Arabidopsis thaliana: one gene and its partner. The protein of the gene in region 1 interacts with the protein of each later gene in a biochemical or structural test. Each region holds a gene or a part of one and is shown in the gene's direction. Other genes may lie near its edges.

Evidence for each region. The genes of interacting proteins can lie anywhere in the genome.
Region 2: the proteins of G4 (region 1) and TCH2 form a complex in vitro, tested with the Arabidopsis thaliana proteins (one study listed by BioGRID).

What each region holds. Positions count from the first base shown.
Region 1 is NC_003074.8:19,215,392-19,220,993, reverse strand, and holds G4 (UbiA prenyltransferase family protein), read left to right. Parts: upstream 1-1,865; 5' UTR 1,866-2,059; coding exon 2,060-2,210; intron 2,211-2,291; coding exon 2,292-2,336; intron 2,337-2,419; coding exon 2,420-2,505; intron 2,506-2,689; coding exon 2,690-2,777; intron 2,778-2,859; coding exon 2,860-2,945; intron 2,946-3,033; coding exon 3,034-3,120; intron 3,121-3,193; coding exon 3,194-3,259; intron 3,260-3,333; coding exon 3,334-3,417; intron 3,418-3,513; coding exon 3,514-3,575; intron 3,576-3,653; coding exon 3,654-3,729; intron 3,730-3,818; coding exon 3,819-3,963; intron 3,964-4,326; coding exon 4,327-4,403; intron 4,404-4,487; coding exon 4,488-4,535; intron 4,536-4,630; coding exon 4,631-4,693; 3' UTR 4,694-5,064; downstream 5,065-5,602. Other genes in the region: SAC8 (SAC domain-containing protein 8), read right to left, coding at 1-76, 179-306, 397-471, 607-757; EM1 (Stress induced protein), read right to left, coding at 5,533-5,602. UniProt on the Arabidopsis thaliana protein: Involved in one of the last steps of the biosynthesis of chlorophyll a. Catalyzes the esterification of chlorophillide a or b with a preference for geranylgeranyldiphosphate (GGPP) rather than for phytyldiphosphate (PhyPP).
Region 2 is NC_003076.8:14,996,982-15,001,265, reverse strand, and holds TCH2 (EF hand calcium-binding protein family), read left to right. Parts: upstream 1-1,646; 5' UTR 1,647-1,705; coding exon 1,706-2,191; 3' UTR 2,192-2,285; exon of another isoform or gene 2,286-2,556; intron 2,557-2,654; 3' UTR 2,655-3,046; coding exon of another isoform or gene 3,047-3,315; 3' UTR 3,316-3,399; coding exon of another isoform or gene 3,400-3,532; 3' UTR 3,533-3,752; downstream 3,753-4,284. Other genes in the region: AT5G37760 (Chaperone DnaJ-domain superfamily protein), read right to left, coding at 3,047-3,315, 3,400-3,532, 3,804-3,904, 3,978-4,098. UniProt on the Arabidopsis thaliana protein: Calcium-binding protein that may positively regulate abscisic acid (ABA) inhibition of germination and seedling development. May be required for photoperiod-induced flowering and function in ion homeostasis.

The sequences.
Region 1 (5,602 bases):
TTTCATACGAAAAATACAATCCAGGGGTTGTCTCAAGTGCTTGTAACAGAGTCCTAAAATATGTTTCGTCCTTTTTCTGCAAAAGCCAGTGACCAAGTTCTTTAGACAACTTAACTTGTTCATAAACTCCAAAACCCCTACAAAATCGTATATCGATTGAAATTCACAATAACCTTACTTCTTGAGCAGTAGCAAACCTCAAAGCCTCATTGCAAGGTAAGAATTTCATAGCCGTAACTCTAAAAATCGGTAAACCGAGAAAATTTCCAACTTCCTCCCGAGACGTTATAACTAGCAAGTATGTTCCTATATATGAATGAAATCGAAACCAGCATATAAAAATCACTGTTGGATCCCAACACAGTACATAGAGAAATGTTGAAAAACATTTTCCACCTGCTAAGAGCCTAATAGTTCCTCCTACGCCATAGATAGTAGAGACTCTAGTAGGACTCCCAGAAGATGCGTTTTCTGCAGTAACAAAGAAACAGTAACATCAAATACACTACAACAGCCTAATACTCTTGCTTCATATCATCTCTTGCCAAATTTTGTCTTGAAACCAAAACAGGGAAGGGAGAGAGCTGAGAATGAAGAGTGGATTACCATCAAGAGGTTTGATATTGCCATCGCGCCGATTGACGGAGAAGCCTTCCTCAGGCGATTCGATGGGTTTGACGACGTACTTGTCAGGAAACTCCAGAAGCTCGAATTGATCGTAGAGCTTGAATCTACTTGTAGATGGAGCAATCTCCATTAACGTAAATTATGAGATTTCAAATAAATTTTTCAAAATAGGAAAAATAATTTGAAGGATGATGATGATGATGATGCTGTTGGAGTTTGTTCAATTAAGAACTGGATCAGGAGAAACAAAAAAAAATGTCAATGATTGTTCATTATTTTTCTTCAAAGTTGACTGTTGCCACGTGTCTCTCAACCGGATACTAGTGGGCTTCTTTGGGCCTGAAATTTAAACTGTGCCCAATAGTCTTTCGTCCGGACAAATTGTTACAGTAGTTAAATCAAAGGCCACCAAAACTGTTACGTAGACATTTAAAGCGAATCTCCATCACCTACCGACTCTTCCTTGATTTGATTGTTCCACATGTAGTAAAAATAGAGACTTGAAGGTAATTTTGCCTTGAGGGAACATGAAGAGACTGAAGGTTGATATTTTTATTAGAAAGTTAAAAAAATTATTTCAGTTAATATTATATTTATAGGATATATATTAAAAGATATATCACGGGCTTATATTTTTATCAAATACATGAATTTTTTGTTTTTAAGATATCAACTACAACTAGATGTATCATAATCCCCTTGTTAGATTTATTATTCTTTTTGTCTTAATATCTTATAATAGTTAATAGTCATTAATAAAGAAGTAATAGCTTTCATTGAAGTGAGTCTACTCTAAATAGGATTTCCACAGTAGGAAAACTAGACATCAGGAAATCTATTCAATCAAGACGACTTATGTAGTAGAGTAATCCCCGAAGGTATTGAGCAACTATAGATATATGTTATTGATTATTTAATGTATGATACAATTCGGGATGATTTTATAATTAAAAGATTTGAAATTTGAAATTATATTTATTTTGTTAATATTGTTAGTTTTGGTTAGCTTTTAAAATTGTGTATTTGTATTTTTATTGTTAAATTTTATGATTTCACCCGGTATATATCATCCCATATTAATATTAGATTTATTTTTTGGGCTTTATTTGGGTTTTCGATTTAAACTGGGCCCATTCTGCTTCAATGAAACCCTAATGGGTTTTGTTTGGGCTTTGGATTTAAACCGGGCCCATTCTGCTTCAATGAAGGTCCTTTGTCCAACAAAACTAACATCCGACACAACTAGTATTGCCAAGAGGATCGTGCCACATGGCAGTTATTGAATCAAAGGCCGCCAAAACTGTAACGTAGACATTACTTATCTCCGGTAACGGACAACCACTCGTTTCCCGAAACAGCAACTCACAGACTCACACCACTCCAGTCTCCGGCTTAACTACCACCAGAGACGATTCTCTCTTCCGTCGGTTCTATGACTTCGATTCTCAACACTGTCTCCACCATCCACTCTTCCAGAGTTACCTCCGTCGATCGAGTCGGAGTCCTCTCTCTTCGGAATTCGGATTCCGTTGAGTTCACTCGCCGGCGTTCTGGTTTCTCGACGTTGATCTACGAATCACCCGGTAGTTAGCATTCTGTTGGATAGATTGATGAATGTTTTCTTCGATTTTTTTTTTACTGATCTTGTTGTGGATCTCTCGTAGGGCGGAGATTTGTTGTGCGTGCGGCGGAGACTGATACTGATAAAGGTATGATTTTTTAGTTGTTTTTATTTTCTCTCTCTTCAAAATTCTCTTTTCAAACACTGTGGCGTTTGAATTTCCGACGGCAGTTAAATCTCAGACACCTGACAAGGCACCAGCCGGTGGTTCAAGCATTAACCAGCTTCTCGGTATCAAAGGAGCATCTCAAGAAACTGTAATTTTGTTCATCTCCTCAGAATCTTTTAAATTATCATATTTGTGGATAATGATGTGTTAGTTTAGGAATTTTCCTACTAAAGGTAATCTCTTTTGAGGACAAGTCTTGTTTTTAGCTTAGAAATGATGTGAAAATGTTGTTTGTTAGCTAAAAAGAGTTTGTTGTTATATTCTGTATTCAGAATAAATGGAAGATTCGTCTTCAGCTTACAAAACCAGTCACTTGGCCTCCACTGGTTTGGGGAGTCGTCTGTGGTGCTGCTGCTTCAGGTAATCATACGAACCTCTTTTGGATCATGCAATACTGTACAGAAAGTTTTTTCATTTTCCTTCCAATTGTTTCTTCTGGCAGGGAACTTTCATTGGACCCCAGAGGATGTTGCTAAGTCGATTCTTTGCATGATGATGTCTGGTCCTTGTCTTACTGGCTATACACAGGTCTGGTTTTACACAACAAAAAGCTGACTTGTTCTTATTCTAGTGCATTTGCTTGGTGCTACAATAACCTAGACTTGTCGATTTCCAGACAATCAACGACTGGTATGATAGAGATATCGACGCAATTAATGAGCCATATCGTCCAATTCCATCTGGAGCAATATCAGAGCCAGAGGTAACTGAGACAGAACATTGTGAGCTTTTATCTCTTTTGTGATTCTGATTTCTCCTTACTCCTTAAAATGCAGGTTATTACACAAGTCTGGGTGCTATTATTGGGAGGTCTTGGTATTGCTGGAATATTAGATGTGTGGGTAAGTTGGCCCTTCTGACATTAACTAGTACAGTTAAAGGGCACATCAGATTTGCTAAAATCTTCCCTTATCAGGCAGGGCATACCACTCCCACTGTCTTCTATCTTGCTTTGGGAGGATCATTGCTATCTTATATATACTCTGCTCCACCTCTTAAGGTAAGTTTTATTCCTAACTTCCACTCTCTAGTGATAAGACACTCCATCCAAGTTTTGGAGTTTTGAATATCGATATCTGAACTGATCTCATTGCAGCTAAAACAAAATGGATGGGTTGGAAATTTTGCACTTGGAGCAAGCTATATTAGTTTGCCATGGTAAGATATCTCGTGTATCAATAATATATGGCGTTGTTCTCATCTCATTGATTTGTTTCTTGCTCACTTGACTGATAGGTGGGCTGGCCAAGCATTGTTTGGCACTCTTACGCCAGATGTTGTTGTTCTAACACTCTTGTACAGCATAGCTGGGGTACTCTTTTGGCAAACCTTTTATGTTGCTTTTTTCGTTATCTGTTGTAATATGCTCTTGCTTCATGTTGTACCTTTGTGATAATGCAGTTAGGAATAGCCATTGTTAACGACTTCAAAAGTGTTGAAGGAGATAGAGCATTAGGACTTCAGTCTCTCCCAGTAGCTTTTGGCACCGAAACTGCAAAATGGATATGCGTTGGTGCTATAGACATTACTCAGCTTTCTGTTGCCGGTATGTACTATCCACTGTTTTTGTGCAGCTGTGGCTTCTATTTCTTTTCCTTGATCTTATCAACTGGATATTCACCAATGGTAAAGCACAAATTAATGAAGCTGAATCAACAAAGGCAAAACATAAAAGTACATTCTAATGAAATGAGCTAATGAAGAGGAGGCATCTACTTTTATGTTTCATTAGTGTGATTGATGGATTTTCATTTCATGCTTCTAAAACAAGTATTTTCAACAGTGTCATGAAATAACAGAACTTATATCTTCATTTGTACTTTTACTAGTGGATGAGTTACACAATCATTGTTATAGAACCAAATCAAAGGTAGAGATCATCATTAGTATATGTCTATTTTGGTTGCAGGATATCTATTAGCATCTGGGAAACCTTATTATGCGTTGGCGTTGGTTGCTTTGATCATTCCTCAGATTGTGTTCCAGGTAAAGACGTTAACAGTCTCACATTATAATTAATCAAATTCTTGTCACTCGTCTGATTGCTACACTCGCTTCTATAAACTGCAGTTTAAATACTTTCTCAAGGACCCTGTCAAATACGACGTCAAGTACCAGGTAAGTCAACTTAGTACACATGTTTGTGTTCTTTTGAAATATCTTTGAGAGGTCTCTTAATCAGAAGTTGCTTGAAACACTCATCTTGATTACAGGCAAGCGCGCAGCCATTCTTGGTGCTCGGAATATTTGTAACGGCATTAGCATCGCAACACTGAAAAAGGCGTATTTTGATGGGGTTTTGTCGAAAGCAGAGGTGTTGACACATCAAATGTGGGCAAGTGATGGCATCAACTAGTTTAAAAGATTTTGTAAAATGTATGTACCGTTATTACTAGAAACAACTCCTGTTGTATCAATTTAGCAAAACGGCTGAGAAATTGTAATTGATGTTACCGTATTTGCGCTCCATTTTTGCATTTCCTGCTCATATCGAGGATTGGGGTTTATGTTAGTTCTGTCACTTCTCTGCTTTCAGAATGTTTTTGTTTTCTGTAGTGGATTTTAACTATTTTCATCACTTTTTGTATTGATTCTAAACATGTATCCACATAAAAACAGTAATATACAAAAATGATACTTCCTCAAACTTTTTATAATCTAAATCTAACAACTAGCTAGTAACCCAACTAACTTCATACAATTAATTTGAGAAACTACAAAGACTAGACTATACATATGTTATTTAACAACTTGAAACTGTGTTATTACTACCTGATTTTTTTCTATTCTACAGCCATTTGATATGCTGCAATCTTAACATATCAAGTCTCACGTTGTTGGACACAACATACTATCACAAGTAAGACACGAAGTAAAACCAACCGGCAACCGCATTACATAACATAACCGCATACCATTTGAACGGTACAACACTGCCGTTAGTACAAGCCATACATAGTTATATCACACACATATAAAACACAAAAAACCTAAACGCGCTACATTAGACCCTAGTTAAAATCCACGCTGCCAAACACGGAACCTACAAGCAGGTTACTTATTAGATGATATATAACAGACTGTTGCAGCGGACACTAGTAGCTCGTAACTACTATCACTTGTTGGTGAACTTTGACTCATCGATCTCAATCCCTTCTTCCTCCGCACGCTCTCCACCAGATTTT
Region 2 (4,284 bases), on another chromosome or scaffold:
TAAACTAAATATATTATAAAACTTTTTTTTTAAAAAAACAACAACAAAATCCCGCGCGTAGCGCGGGCACTCACCTAGTCTTCATAATTTTTCATCTACACATTTCAAAAGGTACGAACAATGATTTGCACACACTATAAACAAGTAAGAAAAGAAGATTTACTGTGCTTTTAAGTATTATATATAAAATAGAAAATTAGAATGAAAAAAAAACATAATATTAGTTTTCTTTTTGTCGCTATTTATATATAAAAAAAATAATCTAAAATGACTATTTGATAGGCTAAGATTGTAGGAATTAGTACCGGTTTATAACTGATTTATAAAACTAATCACAAATTTTAATTGTTAATGTAAATATTATCATAAAATTAATTGTAAGAATTTATACCAATTTATAACAGATTTATAAAACGAATCACAAATTTAATTGTCAGTGTAAATATTTAATTAAATCGATATCATAAGATTATGAATATACTTAGCTATTTTGCAGCGGAAAGATGAAGGAACCGAGGTTGTAAACCTTTCCAAATGTGTGCCTCTACTGATATCCACATACATATAGACTTAGTCAAACAGAATGCTAGTACTGCAGAGATTAAATCTCAAAACATAACGACAAGTTCGTCTTTTATGTTTAGGGTTCGGCTGCTCAAGGCTATATGTCAAACGTTATTATATATCATTATATATAGCTAATACGTTTAACCTAACATACTTAGGTTTAGTAATGGGCTTGAGCTCAATCACTTCATTTCTTATTCGTAGAGAGAAATCATATTTGCCTCTTATTCCATGTGCACATATCAATATACATATACATGTATGTCAAATATAATATATAGATTTGTTATATTATTTTTTATTATAAATAATATATATAAATAAATCCAACATAATATTGATCCAATTTGTTTAGGTGTGTGATTTTGAAGGATCGAATAATATTAATGATGAACTTCTCAAATCATCGGCTATTTGGGATTGTTGGATTCATACTTTTATAAAGTTAGTAAAAAATTTATGTTATTTTAATTAAAACAAAAAAATCTCTGAATTTTAATAAATTTTATTATTATGTAATTGGTTCATGATTTCAACATTTTTTCCACAAAATAAAGTCATAGAAATCATAAAAAATATTATCAAAATAGAGAGAGCATTTGAGAAACTTTACAAGATTATGAATAACTAATCATCAAGATTATAAAAAAAGTCTCTAGCAATAATTTAAAATCTTTCATTTATTTACTTTCTATAATTTAATTAAACTCATCATAATTTCTTATAAATTAGAAACCAATGTTATCCACTTAGTCTTATAAAATTACTTGAATTTATGAATGAAAGTTTACCCAAAAAATATATATATATATATATATATATAGCTATATACAGAAATTTATTATAGCAACTTGTCCTATCTTTAATCAAAGACATTTTTCTTTTTATTATTGGTAAATAAACATTTTGGAAGCATAAAATATGTAAAGTAAATAAATCTTTGGAAAGTAAATAAATTTAGAATTAATAAAGATGCCACCAGCTCACGCAATCTCAACGCGTTTTAATTAAAAAAACGCGTTATTACGTCACCCTCTCTCTTTCCCTTATTTATAACCAAATCCTTCTTCTTCACACACACACTACTCTAACCGTTTTTTTTCTTCTCTCAAATCTCAAAATCTCAATTTCTTCAACAATGTCATCGAAGAACGGAGTTGTTCGTAGCTGTTTAGGATCAATGGACGACATCAAAAAAGTCTTCCAACGATTCGACAAAAACGGCGACGGGAAAATCTCCGTCGACGAGCTCAAAGAAGTGATCCGCGCTCTCTCACCAACAGCATCACCAGAAGAAACAGTAACGATGATGAAACAATTCGATCTAGACGGTAACGGATTCATAGATCTGGACGAATTCGTCGCGCTTTTCCAAATCGGAATCGGAGGAGGAGGTAACAATCGAAACGACGTAAGCGATTTGAAAGAAGCGTTTGAGTTATATGATTTGGATGGTAATGGAAGGATCTCGGCGAAAGAGCTTCATTCAGTGATGAAGAATTTGGGTGAGAAGTGCTCTGTGCAAGATTGTAAGAAGATGATTAGTAAAGTTGATATTGATGGTGATGGTTGTGTTAATTTTGATGAGTTTAAGAAGATGATGAGTAATGGTGGTGGTGCTTGAGGATTTGGAAGATTTCGCCGGAGATTAGATTAGTCGACGGTGATGATTCGTATTAGCAGATTAATTTTAGTGACGGCGATTAAAAACCCTAGAAGTATGTGGTGATTGATGAATATTGATTTTAACGGTTGTTTCTATATCTTCTGCTCTTTTTATAATTAATATGCTTTGTTGAGTGTTATTAGTCTTTAATATTCTGAATTAATTACTGATTTAACAGCTAATCGAATTTTTTTCTATAATGAATATATATATAGTTTCATTCATCACAAGAACAAATAAATTTTCGTAATGATTATTACTAATCTTCCCAACTAGTGGTACCGTTAGACAAATGTGAATTTTTCCCTTATGCATGATTCCTGTTATGGGCCGAGCTGGTTTTTAGGAGGCCCATTATAGCGTTGAGCACTATACAATTCACTCTATAGATTAATCTACATGTGCTAATTTGTCTTTGCAGAACCATAAACCATTTCTTGTGACTCCTCGAGTCCTTGATTTGCGGCACTTCCAGAGTCTTCCACTATTATACCTACACCTTAATTACAACAACTCAGTGGAACTAACAGATGATAAAGAATCTCTCTTTGAATAAGTACCACCACTTGTGTTTTTGGCTTTTTCCAATGGAGTTTTCTTATATTGCAATCAAAAGGTTGACCACAACGTGGACAAATTATGTCCTTATAAAGACAAAATATGGCATATTGGCATCGCATCTATTACACATTCTCCAATGAGTATCGTCTCTAGCATTTTTATTCCCAGTAGAAGATGCTAGCTTGTGCAGATTTAGTAGTTTCATTATCCAACGAGCAAGCTTATTACTTCTAGCCCCACCGTCTCTAGCACTTAACTTGTGTATATTGTAGGATTGAGTTGTTTCTTTATCCAACTAGCAAGCTTATTACTTCTTGCCCCAATATTTTGTGGGTTTGGTTGTTTCTGAATCTCGGTCTTTGCTTCTTTCGAGATCCTCCTTTGATCATAAGAAGTTCTCTTAACCTTATCAGATAACATACACCAAGCTTCTGTAACTGGCTTAAAGGCGCCTTCCGCGCCATTAAGGTTGTACTTGTCCGGATGAAGCAAAAGAGCTAACTTCTTGTATTGTTTCTTCACTGCTTCATCATAGCTAAAGGGTCTACATAAAGAATTCCATACCAATCAGCTTTTTCTTCTCCGTTTGATGCAAAGAGATAAACATTGATCATCATCAACACTTGTCTTTAAACCATCAAGTTTTGGATACAAATTCTGAGCCTTGTTAATGAATTTCTTCGCTCCATTGTAATCATTCTCCGAGAGTTTCCTCTCAGCAATCTCCATTGGAAACAACTTAGAAAAAATAATTAGCTCAGAATATTCTTTTGTATTGGAAACAACTTAGAAAAAAGGATATGTTCTTCTCATATTGTGTTTCAGTGTGGCTCCAAGCCAAGTTTTCCAGATAAGTGGTTTCATCTCCATTTTGTTTTCCATGATTTGCTTTCAATTTGCCATAAATGTGTCTAACACATTTCCTATGCTCTGAAATTTGGTAACCAGTAACATCACATTAAGACTAAAATCATAATATACGAACAAGAACATCCACACAAAAACATACCTTTGGTCGATCTGAGGTTATGATAAACCCATCTCTATCTTTAAGATCAAAATCAGACTTCACCATTTGGATAAACCATAACCATTTCTTCTCATTCTCCACTTGTACTATATCCTCATGCTATTTAATACATTTTGGTACATGCATCTCTACCTATAGCAGCAAGTAACTGACCTTTGAGTGTGCATTTGAGGAAAATACCATCTACTCCTATGAGTGGGGCGATATGTCTCCTTCCATGATCTTCTGATGATGTCAAAGCAGACGTAAAATTGATCAAACAGGTCTTCACCATCTGTTCCAGGGATGGTTTCAAGTGACACATTAGAATCTTTATTAGTTATTTTGATTGCTATATAGTTATTTTGATTGCTGTAAAAACTGTTATAAAATCAACTAATAACTTGACAAGTGACTTGTGAGGAAGATAATGTTTTATTGTTGCTGTAAAAAATGTTATAAAATCAACTAACAACAAGAC